Linked DNA regions of Saccharomyces cerevisiae S288C. Changing the gene in region 1 together with any one later gene gives a genetic interaction. Each region holds a gene or a part of one and is shown on either strand. Other genes may lie near its edges.

Region 1 (8,544 bases):
CCTAAACGATCGATCTTAATTAATTTACCATATGGGTGTCTTGGATCATTGATCAATGAGACTGGCGTGGAAGGGTCCAATTTTGCGTATTTGGAGGCAAATTCTAACGGAGTCGATTTGATAGTGTGGATTTTCTTGTCTTTGTCAACGTATTCCCAAGTGAATTGCTCGTTTGGTTGCACTGGAGGTATGTCCATGAACAACGACATCAACCTGAAGATTTCTCTTTGCATTTGCTCTCTCAGAGTGACAATTATGGAATCATCGGCAGAACGCTCTTTCAAAGCTGTTCTTAGAGTCTCGGCAAATTCTCTCAGTTTAGTAGTCAACAGAGAATTCCATTTTCTGGACGCAGTAGTAGAATAAGGTAGATCCCCGTATAAATCTTTGGGGATAAGGCCATACTTCTTGACTAGGTTCAAAAACATGCTGTATTGGCCACCGTCTTCTGTTGGAGCTGCTAACAAGTATTGCACGAGACGTGAGTCGATGTCTTGATCAGCCGAGGAGACGATTTGGTCCAAGAAATAGTTGGCCTTTTCCAACTTATCGTAAAAGAACAAGTAAGCTTGGGACAGTTCGAATTCTTTTAAGTTCAATTCAGAAAGAACATTCAAGCGCAGTTGATTGGTAGCGGCAAACAACCAACATCTACCAGAGCTTTTTTGGTTGGTGACTGGAGTGGAATCAGTAGAGACAACAGTGTTGAAAACCCTGTTATCTTGCTTTTGCAGTCTAGTCTTGTTCAACAGTGCATCATCGGCATTATAATTCTTAAGGACAGTGGTTGCCAATTGATGGGTTAAGTCGGATTGAAACTCTTTGTTCCAAGAGTTGATCTTACTGATATCGATGGAAGAGGACATTCTTTTTAAAACAATTTGTGGTGCTCGTAAAAGGTGGCTTCTAAACGTCTTGAGATACAAGGACCGGGAAACAGAAGTAGGAAGCATGTAACAAAAGAGCAAGGGCTATTTATCGTTTATTTATGGGTGCCCGTCGGCGACTTGTCAGCCGGCGTTATCAATTGATTACCACATGCAACCCCATTGATTAAGAGAGCAGGTGACTTTCTGGTGGGAGGGGAAAAAAGGATGTGTCACTCACTACCCGGCGATTGCATGCTATTTGACACATACTAAAGCAAAATAACATATGTAGCATAATCAATAAAGCGACTATTTTCTAAATTTCAAAAAGCACTGAATATACGATGCCTCTTCACAGGATTAAGAGACAAAATTTGCCTGTTTGTAAAGCATATTGCCTGCCTTTCCGCTAGTTTTTTCTTTTCCACTTCCTATTTTCTTTTTTTACCAGTTTTCCCTGCTCATCGCATGAAGAAAAAAATGATAAAAGCGTTTTATGGTGATGACTAAGAAACTTGTCTTGTCAGCTGGAAAGATAAGAGAGGGAGCTTCCTTTTCCTGAGTGACAAGATAAGTGTACAAGAAAGCATGAGTGCTCTACTGTCCGAGTCTGACCTAAACGATTTTATCAGTCCCGCCCTTGCGTGCGTCAAACCTACCCAGGTGAGCGGGGGCAAGAAGGATAACGTTAACATGAACGGAGAATACGAGGTGAGCACGGAACCAGACCAACTGGAGAAGGTCTCTATTACCCTATCAGACTGCCTCGCGTGTTCTGGTTGTATAACGTCTAGTGAAGAAATCTTGTTGAGTAGCCAAAGTCACTCGGTTTTCCTGAAAAACTGGGGGAAGCTTTCGCAGCAGCAAGACAAATTCCTCGTTGTGAGTGTCTCGCCACAATGCAGACTATCTCTTGCGCAGTACTACGGCTTAACATTGGAGGCGGCCGATTTGTGTTTGATGAATTTTTTCCAAAAGCATTTCCAGTGCAAGTATATGGTTGGAACGGAGATGGGCAGAATCATATCGATTAGCAAAACCGTAGAGAAGATCATTGCGCATAAGAAACAAAAAGAAAATACCGGTGCGGACCGCAAGCCTCTATTATCTGCTGTGTGTCCGGGATTTCTTATATACACGGAAAAGACCAAACCGCAGTTGGTGCCTATGCTGCTCAATGTCAAGTCGCCTCAGCAAATTACGGGCTCGTTGATCAGAGCTACGTTCGAGAGTCTCGCTATCGCGCGTGAGTCCTTTTACCATCTGTCGCTGATGCCATGTTTTGACAAGAAACTAGAAGCGTCAAGGCCAGAATCGCTTGACGATGGGATTGACTGTGTCATTACGCCACGTGAAATAGTGACAATGTTACAAGAGTTGAATTTAGACTTCAAGTCGTTTCTTACTGAGGACACAAGTTTATATGGGCGGCTATCACCGCCGGGATGGGACCCGCGAGTCCACTGGGCGTCGAATCTGGGAGGCACTTGTGGTGGCTATGCCTACCAGTACGTAACGGCTGTCCAACGACTACACCCAGGAAGTCAGATGATAGTTCTGGAGGGTAGAAACAGCGACATTGTCGAGTACCGATTGCTGCACGATGATCGCATAATAGCCGCCGCCAGCGAGCTTTCCGGGTTTAGAAACATCCAAAATCTGGTGCGTAAACTGACCTCGGGCTCCGGGTCAGAGCGCAAGAGGAACATCACCGCTCTGCGGAAGAGACGAACAGGTCCAAAGGCGAACTCACGCGAGATGGCGGCCGCCACGGCCGCCACGGCCGATCCCTACCACTCGGACTACATCGAGGTAAACGCGTGTCCGGGTGCATGCATGAACGGTGGTGGCCTACTCAATGGCGAGCAAAACAGTCTCAAGCGGAAGCAGTTGGTTCAGACACTGAATAAGCGTCACGGAGAGGAGCTAGCAATGGTAGATCCTCTAACCCTGGGACCCAAGCTAGAAGAGGCGGCAGCCCGCCCGCTTTCGCTAGAGTACGTCTTCGCGCCCGTCAAGCAGGCCGTCGAAAAGGATCTCGTCTCTGTTGGGAGCACCTGGTAAGTAAGGTGTAGTTTTGCACCCGTGTACATAAGCGTGAAATCACCACAAACTGTGTGTATCAAGTACATAGTGACATTTAAATAATAGCAAGAACAACAATAATAGTAGCGCTACTGGAAGCACCACGTAATAGTGGAAAAGAACTGGAAAAACCGCTATAAGATGCATACTCCGGCGGTCTTACGCGGAGATACAAGCTTCCAACGGTGCTAAAAGCCCGGTTTCGGCTCGGCCGGAGGAGGAAGAGAGACGAAAAAAAAAAAAATGACTAAAAAAAAAATGGAATATTATTAATGTGGGATTTTTGGCTCAAGGTGTGGTGGCCCCTTTTCTAAGGGTGGCGAATTCTTCAATGTACGGAAAACTCGCCAAGGCTATCCCATATATAAGCAAACTGTGGGTTCATCTATATACCGACACATAACACCTAAAGTGGCTTCCTCCTGCCCCTCTCTCCCTTTTCTCCACTCACCCCTCCTTCTCCCCCTTCCCCCTCTCCAATTGGCTGTATAGACAGAAAGAGTAAATCCAATAGAATAGAAAACCACATAAGGCAAGATGAGTGAAGGCCCCGTCAAATTCGAAAAAAATACCGTCATATCTGTCTTTGGTGCGTCAGGTGATCTGGCAAAGAAGAAGACTTTTCCCGCCTTATTTGGGCTTTTCAGAGAAGGTTACCTTGATCCATCTACCAAGATCTTCGGTTATGCCCGGTCCAAATTGTCCATGGAGGAGGACCTGAAGTCCCGTGTCCTACCCCACTTGAAAAAACCTCACGGTGAAGCCGATGACTCTAAGGTCGAACAGTTCTTCAAGATGGTCAGCTACATTTCGGGAAATTACGACACAGATGAAGGCTTCGACGAATTAAGAACGCAGATCGAGAAATTCGAGAAAAGTGCCAACGTCGATGTCCCACACCGTCTCTTCTATCTGGCCTTGCCGCCAAGCGTTTTTTTGACGGTGGCCAAGCAGATCAAGAGTCGTGTGTACGCAGAGAATGGCATCACCCGTGTAATCGTAGAGAAACCTTTCGGCCACGACCTGGCCTCTGCCAGGGAGCTGCAAAAAAACCTGGGGCCCCTCTTTAAAGAAGAAGAGTTGTACAGAATTGACCATTACTTGGGTAAAGAGTTGGTCAAGAATCTTTTAGTCTTGAGGTTCGGTAACCAGTTTTTGAATGCCTCGTGGAATAGAGACAACATTCAAAGCGTTCAGATTTCGTTTAAAGAGAGGTTCGGCACCGAAGGCCGTGGCGGCTATTTCGACTCTATAGGCATAATCAGAGACGTGATGCAGAACCATCTGTTACAAATCATGACTCTCTTGACTATGGAAAGACCGGTGTCTTTTGACCCGGAATCTATTCGTGACGAAAAGGTTAAGGTTCTAAAGGCCGTGGCCCCCATCGACACGGACGACGTCCTCTTGGGCCAGTACGGTAAATCTGAGGACGGGTCTAAGCCCGCCTACGTGGATGATGACACTGTAGACAAGGACTCTAAATGTGTCACTTTTGCAGCAATGACTTTCAACATCGAAAACGAGCGTTGGGAGGGCGTCCCCATCATGATGCGTGCCGGTAAGGCTTTGAATGAGTCCAAGGTGGAGATCAGACTGCAGTACAAAGCGGTCGCATCGGGTGTCTTCAAAGACATTCCAAATAACGAACTGGTCATCAGAGTGCAGCCCGATGCCGCTGTGTACCTAAAGTTTAATGCTAAGACCCCTGGTCTGTCAAATGCTACCCAAGTCACAGATCTGAATCTAACTTACGCAAGCAGGTACCAAGACTTTTGGATTCCAGAGGCTTACGAGGTGTTGATAAGAGACGCCCTACTGGGTGACCATTCCAACTTTGTCAGAGATGACGAATTGGATATCAGTTGGGGCATATTCACCCCATTACTGAAGCACATAGAGCGTCCGGACGGTCCAACACCGGAAATTTACCCCTACGGATCAAGAGGTCCAAAGGGATTGAAGGAATATATGCAAAAACACAAGTATGTTATGCCCGAAAAGCACCCTTACGCTTGGCCCGTGACTAAGCCAGAAGATACGAAGGATAATTAGAAAAATGCAAGCACATTCATTTATCGGCTAAGTCACTGAAATTTTTTTTTTCGAGTGATTTTATCTTGCAAGCTCACTCTCTTTGTTCTTTTCTCCTCTATAATGGCATCTTCCCCCCACCAACTCCTCTCTACTTGCGTGTGTATTTGTTTGTATACATGTGTAAATATATATACATAAAAGAATGTCGTCTCATGTATTTTTTAACTTTTAGCCGCGGTCAGTGACATTTTGGCTTTCCCACCATTCCACGTCTGAAAAAAAAAAAAAAAAAAGAGATAAAATATGAATTGAATATATATCAAAAATGTCTGCAAAAATTTTTACGAATCAGTCCGATTGGACTTGTACTTATCATTGATTTGCTCGTTATGCGTCTTATCCACTTGATTAGCTATTCCCTGTAAAGTCTTAGACACTGCCTCAGTGGCCCCAATTAACGGCCGAATAATTGCCACAGGTGCAGCTCTAGCAACATAAACTGCTGCGGCGCTCGGCCCTCCCCGTTTATCATCCTTCATCTGTCCCTTTGCCCTCCATACCGCATCGTACGCAATATGCATATGCTTTTCTAATGAACTATACGCCTCCTTCAAACCCGTGGGCAGGTCGAGGGGCTGATCTGCGTACAGACTCACTATTGTGGGTTCGTTGTGATCTCCCGGTGAAGACATATCGATGACTACTGCCGTGGGCTCATGATCTCTTATCCTGGAATATTTACTACCAACTAACTGATCCTCCTCGAATAAAGTATCCAAGTCTAATACAGCTGCAGTATCACTGTCTGCACCATCAGCGGAGCCAAATTTCGATGCATCGTACACCCTGCCATTGGAACCAACACCACCGAATAGTTCCTCGGTGTTCTCCAATATCGCCTGTGTCCCTGAAGTTAATTTAACTCCCAATTTCACAAAATCTCCCGTTGTCGTTTTCAAGAAGACATTGCCACCCTTTTTCAGACTCCTTCCCAAATGCCCTTCTTGCCTGTATTCTGACATTAGTACTGTGACTAGGGTCTTCACCCCTGACCCAATCGCCATAAACGATCTGACAGGAGCCAGTCCTTCCAAAACGCCAGGCAGCTGCTTTTTGGTAATATCCGGCGTCCAAATGGCTTTCAGTTTATTATTTAATTCATCGAATCCATTTAATCCATACAGGACTACGCTTTTCAAAATAATCTTGGATCCATCAAGGGTAAAAAAATTCATCAATTCAGAAGTTTGGCCCGATCTTAAACCCGCATAATCAACTTTTTTCGGCTTATAATCTAATCTTAACTTAATTGAATTAGTGCTAAATTTTTGAATAAATACAATATCTGGATACTCATCAATTAATTCAAATCTTTTATCTTTGAACCCTAAGAACCTTATTAGAAACTCTAAAGTGTCTTGATCCACGTGAAGGCGTAAAGGCGCAACATTTAATTGCATGACTAATTCCACTGCTTGCAAAAAGTCGATCGGCCGGATAAATTCCAGGTCCAGAAGAAACATCGGAGAACTGTGTGGCCACGGTTCGTGCTTTAGCAAAGTTACAAATTTATTCCAGGTGGACGTGGGAACATTATCGATAATTTCAAATTCGTAAATGGAAACTACACATCGGTTCAAAACATCTGTGGAATTATCAGAGTTAGACTCATCGGGTTCATCTACTCGATAATTCTTCAAATTGACATGTACTTTGTTCAATTGAATCAGGGCTTTGTAATGCTTAGAAGGTCGCAAATTAACTTTAGAGACATCAGAGAAGGAATTCTGAACCCCCTGGATCTCACCATCAAGATTTCTTCTCAAATCTGTGACATTGTTTTTGTTAGCAGATATATAAATAGAGTCAAAAATATTTGCCTCTGATTGGGGTACATTTGATTTCGAACTGCTTGCTTCCGCTTTACTGAGCTCTTTATCCAGTTTTTCAACAGTATTAGCGATAAATTTCCGCGTATATTTCCAATCATACCCATCGAATAGTTTTATAACAACTTTTTCGACATCTATACTACCCCTTATATCCACATCCCTTTCTTGCTCTTTTGAGGCGATTGGTGGAGTATCTTCTTCTTTTGGCTGAGCAGAGTCTAGATAACTCTCATGGGGAAGTAAAATACCACCTGTGGCAGTTCCAGAGGAACTGTCCATTTCATATGAACCTTGAGAGGATAGTTTACTTCTGGCACCATTGTTGAACTCGTGAGTTTTGTCGAGAAAACTGTCTACCAAATGCACTGAGTCGTAATCATTTTGATGATTGTTCTCCCGGATGAAGGCAGAATTGAAAAGATCACAATCGATGTCTTTGAATACATCGATAGGATTTTTCAACTGCGTTCTAAATTTTTCCTCATCAGGAAACGTCTGAGGATATTTTAAATCAATACAAAGCTGACAAAAAGTTTGAAAAGAATCCGCGCATAATGAAAGACCAACTTGTTCTATTTTACAATCCAATAAAAGGGCACCATCGGATTTGTTTATTAAAAAATTCAAAGTATCTATTTTACCGATTGCAGAGAAACCTTGACCAGCATAAAAATTTATCAAACTAGGCCAGTTCTTATCTTTTTGAATTTTGAAATTCTGATAGTCATCTATTAGGAAGAGTGTATTCGCCTTTGAAAGAAGCTTTGCCTGCGGAATAAATGAACTTCCACCAGTTGTTAGATTGTCAAGTACAATGACCATTACACTTTTTAATCTGAAAGGGTGCAGAATTAGAGAGCAGTCCAGACATTTGAGTTCCCAGGGAAATCCTGAAGTCGGTTGTTTTTTACTAAGCTTTTGTGAAACAGGTTCATCTTTTGAACTGGCATTATCCGGGCCGATGTTTTTCTTTAGTATTTCTAACCACCTTGCATAGTAATGTATGCGAATGTTGTTAAAAATGACTTTTAACTTTCCATTCGCCCTTCTATGAACATATAGTACAGGTTCGTTAACTGCTTTATTCAAAACTACTGACATGATTTCTTGTGGCTCTAATAATGACGGTGTCTTTCTTTCTACCTTTAAGTTCTTTGTAAAATATACAATTTGAGAGTCATCCGTAATCGCAAAGAAATTATTTGATAGTAATGCTTCCACAGAACCAAATTGCGGCCCTATAATTTCTGATACTTTTAACTTCATGGAATCTATCTTGAGAGAAAAATTAGCGGATAAACTCTGCTTGTAAACGAACCTGGAAGAATTAAGTACTCTGACACTTCTCTGCAAAAAGGAGCCTCTCTTGCTTTTAGACTTTCCTGTACATTCACTGTTCTTTGAATCCGTGAAAAGTTTTCCAAACGCAGAAATATCTTCGACTAATTGTACTATTCCAGAATATTCTTCGTTAAATATCACTTCTTTGATGATTGCATGGACAGAACTATAAATTAGCGCTTCTTTCAAAGTATCGTCATATGAACCCAGTTGTAGAGGGGATTGCAAGTTCGAGATCGTAATGCTCGACATTGTCAATATTTTCGTGCACCGAGAAGGTAGTTTTTTAAATACGTCTACAAGCTCAATGTACAACTCAC
Region 2 (3,366 bases), on another chromosome or scaffold:
ACGAATTCAACCTTGAAAGACCGTGTAAGTGTCCCATAGAGCAATGTCCCTGGAAAATATTGGGTTTCCAACAAGCAACTGGTCTGAGAAGACATTGTGCTTCCCAACATATAGGAGAGCTTGATATAGAGATGGAGAAATCATTAAATCTAAAAGTAGAAAAATATCCAGGACTGAATTGCCCATTTCCTATCTGTCAGAAAACGTTTAGGCGCAAAGACGCCTATAAGAGACATGTGGCCATGGTGCATAACAACGCTGATTCAAGATTTAACAAGCGTTTGAAGAAAATTTTGAACAATACCAAATAGTTGAGGCATTAAAAATGTACCCCATGAAACTCTTGTTAAATTTGTGCAGGCATGAAAGCTACTGTATTTTTTCTTAAAGTAATAAAAATAAAACACAATGATATTAAAGAAAACGCATGCAACTATGGACACTTGCTATGTCGTGAATATGGCACCACGTTGGTTACTTAGCTAAATAAAAAATCGTAAGTACTCGCATTTTTTCTTCTATATTCACTTTGCTTCTTTGGACAGTTATTTCAATAATAAATATTTCTTTTTTTCTAATCTCCCTTATCACCTAAGAGGAAAAAGTTTGAAAATAAACTTATGGCTAGAGGTTATTTGGTATTCCGAGAAAACATTTGAAACTAGGAAGTTTACATATCAGTGCAATTATGTTTCCTTCGATGATTCACGTACCCTCAAAGTCAGTACCATAAAATTGAAAATAAGACAGGTGTTTTTTTTTTTTTTTTTAATCATACAAGAATTCAACCACTTAAGTAGGATATTAGCGCTTCTTGTGCCGAAAGTCTCGTAATTTCCAATTTATATGTTTTTTAGTTGCATCGCCCTGGTTCCACAAACCGTATTTACGAACCCTCTAGGTAATAGTATCTTTGGCAGTTCTTTTCCAGCTAAGATTTTTATGTTCTCACCGTTGGCGGTTATTTTTCTAAATACCCTCAATGAAAAACTCACATCGCACGCACATTTCCTGAAAATATCTTTGAGAAATATAGCAATCCTCGAGAACAATTGCAGGACAGGAAAAATATTAAGAAACAATAATCGCTAGATCAATCATTTTATGGAAAAAGATCTGTACAGCCAAGAAGAAGAAAAAAAAGAAGAAAAATGGCATTACTCTTTTGTAATTTTCTTGATGAATAATATGGGGGGACAATATAATAAATGCACACTATCTGGTTGAATAGACCAAAAAAGATAGCTTTCTTTTTCTACTTTTTTTCTTTTTTATATTAATTTTTTTCTTTTTTCACATTTTCAAGGTCAGCATTGTATTAAATCTATTCATGCCAGAAAGCCATTATTCATTATTTTTCAAATAGGGGTAGCGGCTTTTTCATCAACTCGATTATTACCCTTTAGAGACCTTCCCTAAAGTGAGCGGCAATTATTTCCGGATGTTAGTAGGGTAATATGGTTACGGATTTGTGACACAAAAGGGCTTTTCAACAGTCGGTCTGGGTTGAAGGATTTTCAGGATGACGAAGCTTTCAATAAGAGGGACTGGACTGTTAACGCGGGGAATTATAGGTTACTTTCCTTGATCTGGCTCTGGCTCTGGCTCTGATTTTGGCTCTTGTACTCCTCGGACTTCTTGACTTGTAACGAAATACGTCTTTTGTCCTTCTCTTCTTCTTCCATAGTAGGGGCGAATGAGGGGAGCATAGTGGATCCTTCTAACCATCTAGAATGGGGTGGACAACATATAAAAGAAGAGCAATCTTGCAGCGCAGTCATATTTATGCTAAGTATATCATTATTTCTTGCTAGCGTAAGTCATAAAAAATAGGAAATAATCACATATATACAAGAAATTAAATATGTCAGAACCTTCAGAGAAAAAACAAAAAGTTGCTACCTCATCTTTAGAACAATTAAAAAAGGCCGGGACCCATGTGGTTGCTGATTCGGGTGATTTTGAGGCTATTTCGAAGTATGAACCACAGGATTCAACAACTAACCCTTCTCTGATATTGGCTGCTTCAAAGTTGGAGAAATATGCGAGGTTTATCGACGCTGCCGTTGAATATGGTAGAAAGCATGGCAAAACTGATCATGAGAAAATCGAGAACGCCATGGATAAGATTTTGGTGGAATTCGGCACCCAGATTTTGAAGGTAGTCCCAGGAAGGGTTTCCACTGAAGTAGACGCAAGGTTATCTTTTGATAAGAAGGCGACGGTGAAGAAGGCTCTCCACATCATCAAACTATATAAAGATGCGGGAGTACCTAAAGAAAGAGTCTTGATCAAGATAGCTTCTACGTGGGAGGGTATCCAAGCTGCTAGAGAATTGGAAGTAAAGCATGGTATTCATTGTAATATGACATTACTGTTTTCCTTTACGCAAGCAGTAGCCTGTGCGGAGGCAAATGTCACATTGATCTCCCCATTTGTTGGAAGGATTATGGACTTTTACAAGGCCCTTTCAGGCAAAGACTATACTGCAGAAACTGATCCCGGTGTTCTTTCTGTTAAGAAGATATACAGTTACTATAAGAGGCATGGTTATGCAACTGAGGTAATGGCGGCTTCTTTCAGGAATTTAGATGAATTGAAGGCGTTAGCCGGTATTGATAATATGACTCTCCCACTGAACCTTCTAGAACAGTTATATGAATCAACAGATCCTATTGAAAACAAATTGAATTCTGAGAGTGCTAAGGAAGAAGGCGTCGAAAAAGTCTCTTTTATCAACGACGAGCCTCATTTCAGATATGTTTTAAACGAAGATCAAATGGCTACAGAAAAACTATCAGATGGTATCAGAAAATTCTCCGCAGACATTGAAGCACTGTACAAACTGGTTGAAGAAAAAATGTGATCATTAAGAGTAGAGGTACCTACTTATATATATAAATATATATATACCACTTTCCTTTTCGGTACTTAGTATTGAATTTGTTTGAGTATATGTGCATAGCATAGTGTACAGACTTATATATTCATTAAAATTCTGACGTATAATCAAATTCCGAGGGGTTCGTGAACAATTCTTCGTATCCCGCCCACTCTCCTTTTACCACTTTTGGATAGGTTCGCCATATCTTTCTTTCTGTCGGAACCGTCTCTGACTTTAGCTTCTTCGGTAATCGTGGCGTAATTACCTTGCGCAATATTATCATTATTCAACGCAACTTTTCCGGCTGTCTGCACTTTAGTGCTTGTGTTTGTTTCGTGTAGTTGTGGTGTCACTTCCTGAATCTTTTGGCTCCTTATGCTCGGTCTATTTGATTCATTTACCACATTAGTACTTAATATCCTCTTGGGCTTCTTGAAAGGCTTATTGACCTTCAGAGTAAGTTTGCTGATGTTGAATCCTCC
Region 3 (3,046 bases), on another chromosome or scaffold:
GCCCCAGTTGTCTTGGGTGCTGGTTACACTGATGGTATCACTTACTTGTCCATCATTCCAAACCCAAACAACAAAGAAGCACCAAACTTTAACATCAAGATCGTTGCCACCGATGGCTCTACCGTCAATGGTGCTTGCTCTTACGAAAATGGTGTCTACTCTGGCTCTGGCTCTGACGGTTGTACTGTTTCAGTTACTTCTGGTTCTGCTAACTTTGTCTTCTACTAGGCCTTTTTTCCTTGAATATTGCAAATAAGCTTTTGCTAGTACTTTTTTTACTCCGTTCATTTTATGGTTTATTTTTCAATTAGTTCGTTTTTCCACAATACAAAAAAACACAGTCCTTTGTACTATCCCTTTTATTTCATTATTTTTTCTTTTTTAAGATACCACTAGATATTATCATATATAGCATATTATATAACATAAAAAGTCAAGAAAAAAAATGTTTTTATCACTTTCTATAACTGCATATCTTTTTTTGCATTTCGAATGATTGCTTACACATCGCCATGCTGGGATTCCTCCTCTGGTGGTGAGACAAATGGACCTGCTAATTCCAATGCAGGTTCGTCAATGTTGTGGTGAGCGTATGACAAAACACCAATCCCACCGGCGTCCAGTAAGAAACATGGATTGTCTACCAAATGTCTGTAAGATTCCAATTTCACATATGGAACTGTGTCGTCATCATAAGATTTGACATTTTGAATTTCTTCAATCGTCTCACACTTCTTTTGCACACCCAGTCCAAACCAAATAGCAGCAAAATAACGCAATGCATGTCCGTGCGCAAAGACCATGATGTCTGATGCTCTGCCCTCACTCTGGTGCTTGCGGTGCAAGTTCTGGATTCTGGCAATAGCGCGGGAAAGTCTCAACCCAATTTGCTGAGTAGTCTCACCGTTCTCACACCCATCTCTCCAGATATTCCATGGCCTCTCCTTGTCCAAACCGCGTGACTTTCTCAATTCAATGATTTCTCGAGTCAGCATTCCCTCGTAGTCACCGTACTCCCACTCTCGCAAGTCGTCGTCTACCACCACACGGATCTTAGCTCTTTGCTCGTCGCTTAATGGTTTCAAAACCAAATCCACAGTTTGCCTGGCACGCAAACGTGGAGAGGTGAAGATATAAGTGATGTTGTCTGGATTCAAAAACTGATTATTGCGGAAAACACTCTCACCGGTCCTCAACATTTGGCCCTCACCGTAGGGCGTTAACGGTAGATCTGTCAAACCAGTATACTGGCCTGACTTGGACCATTCAGTTTGACCGTGTCTGACAATGATACATCTGGGGGTTAGCGAAGGCATTGTTGCTTGCAATTAAGTGTAGGTGTTTCCCTATCCACTTAGCTATGAACAAAATGTGCTTATCTGAGCTAATATTTTTTCATTTTTGTCCTATAAATAATAATGGAAAAAAAAAACTCATCGCGTGGTTGAACAGAAAAAAAACAATAAGAGTGAGTAAGCAGTGAAAAATGTAAGATTTACGCTTTATATAAGCAGATTTTGGTTTCCTTTATATATTTTTGCATTTGTCTATCCTTAACATTGGATAGCAATTTGGCGGTGGGTAGTTTATAACGTGTGTGCTCTCTCTTTAAGTAACGATGTCAAGAGATGTAAGGGCAGAGAAACTAGCCATATCACTATTGATTTTATCATTGTTTCTAATATTCCAATTAGTGGCTGAGATTTATCTCAATAATGGTGATCAGTACCATACAGAGACTAGCCCCTTTACAAGAGGAAGATCACATGTAACGCGTGTGCCCAACCATGATGCTAGTTTATCTATACCGTTTTTGGACAAGATCAACCAGTTTTGGCATGTAGGCGGTGCCACGCAAATTAGGAATATTCAGTCGATCAAATTGACTCAGGACCGTGATCAAGATAAACATGGATTAGTATTGTCCAATGGAATTGGCGACAACACCATCAATGACTTTGAGATTGTTTTCACTTTCAGAATTTCTCACGACCCCACTACACAACTCACTGGTGATGGAATGTGTTTTGCCATTACGCCCGAAAATGGGTTTCTCACACAGAATTTACAGTCGTCGTATGCGAAAAAGCAATACATGATGAATTCTCAGGGCGTCATAGCCGATAATACAGATCTGATGGGCTTCCCGAAAAATCTGCCTGGCCTATTTATTGTCTTGGATACGTATCGCAACCAAGGCCACGACCATAAGGAGGTACCCTTTATGGATGTGTTTATAAATGTGGCCCCAGAAAGCGATTGGTACGATATAAATAGTGATGGTGAACTCAGTACATCGCTGCGGCTTAATTCAAGAGGCCACATAAAACTCAAGAAAAATGCCCTGTGGAATCGAGTCACGAAACTAAGAATAATATATTTGGAAAGTATAAGCTTCCTGAAGATCGACGTGCAGTACGCAAAAGAGGGAAACTACTGGATTGAGTTATTTCAAACAACCGAAAATCTGTACTTGCCGAAAAACATGCACACGGGGCAAAGATACATTGGCTGTAGCGCATTAAATGGCCAATTAACGGAGACAGTGGAGCTGCTGGACGTATCCACTAGCGAATTCCATTGGAACGACATGGATGCGTCCATTGAGGACACCTATGATTACGCAAAGGAAGCTGAGCTATTCCTGGAGCAGGAATTTGGCGAGGTCCTTGACAGGGAACCCGATGAGTTCACCAAATGGAAAATGATCAAAGCTCAACCAAACATCAAGACTGGGTCACAGTCAGCTGAACAGAAAACTTCAAACAATCCTCACTCTCGGTTGTTCAAGGTCGTGCTGACCATATGGCATTATAGCGAGATTTTGCTATTGATCATGGGCATTTATCTTTTTTCTGCTTGCATAAGAGTTTTCCAAAGAAGGTTCAAAAAAATTAGATCCAGAAGAAAAAGGGCAGGCTCGCATTCTGTGGGGCTATTGCCCATGTAGCATTGCATAGGCACGCACATACATACATACACAAATAATACAATATAGGACGTTCATCTTAGGTAGCCAATTCACGGTCTTCTTGTGGTAGTGTTA

The links.
Region 2: mutations in ZWF1 (region 1) and NQM1 are lethal when combined (synthetic lethality), as found in Saccharomyces cerevisiae (2 studies listed by BioGRID, with this or other methods).
Region 3: mutations in ZWF1 (region 1) and SHB17 impair growth when combined (synthetic growth defect), as found in Saccharomyces cerevisiae (one study listed by BioGRID).

Annotation. Positions count from the first base shown.
Region 1 is NC_001146.8:192,891-201,434, reverse strand, and holds ZWF1 (glucose-6-phosphate dehydrogenase), read left to right. Parts: upstream 1-3,491; coding exon 3,492-5,009; downstream 5,010-8,544. Other genes in the region: LAP3 (bleomycin hydrolase), read right to left, coding at 1-866; iron-sulfur cluster assembly protein NAR1, read left to right, coding at 1,458-2,933; ATG2 (Atg2p), read right to left, coding at 5,333-8,544. UniProt on the Saccharomyces cerevisiae protein: Catalyzes the rate-limiting step of the oxidative pentose-phosphate pathway, which represents a route for the dissimilation of carbohydrates besides glycolysis.
Region 2 is NC_001139.9:579,935-583,300, reverse strand, and holds NQM1 (sedoheptulose-7-phosphate:D-glyceraldehyde-3-phosphate transaldolase NQM1), read left to right. Parts: upstream 1-1,864; coding exon 1,865-2,866; downstream 2,867-3,366. Other genes in the region: RME1 (Rme1p), read left to right, coding at 1-311; MTE1 (Mte1p), read right to left, coding at 3,010-3,366. UniProt on the Saccharomyces cerevisiae protein: Transaldolase is important for the balance of metabolites in the pentose-phosphate pathway.
Region 3 is NC_001143.9:520,397-523,442, forward strand, and holds SHB17 (sedoheptulose-bisphosphatase), read right to left. Parts: upstream 1,317-3,046; coding exon 501-1,316; downstream 1-500. Other genes in the region: SUN family protein UTH1, read left to right, coding at 1-228; UIP5 (Uip5p), read left to right, coding at 1,619-2,950; YKR045C (uncharacterized protein), read right to left, coding at 3,022-3,046. UniProt on the Saccharomyces cerevisiae protein: Sedoheptulose 1,7-bisphosphatase involved in riboneogenesis. Dephosphorylates sedoheptulose 1,7-bisphosphate (SBP), which is converted via the non-oxidative pentose phosphate pathway to ribose-5-phosphate.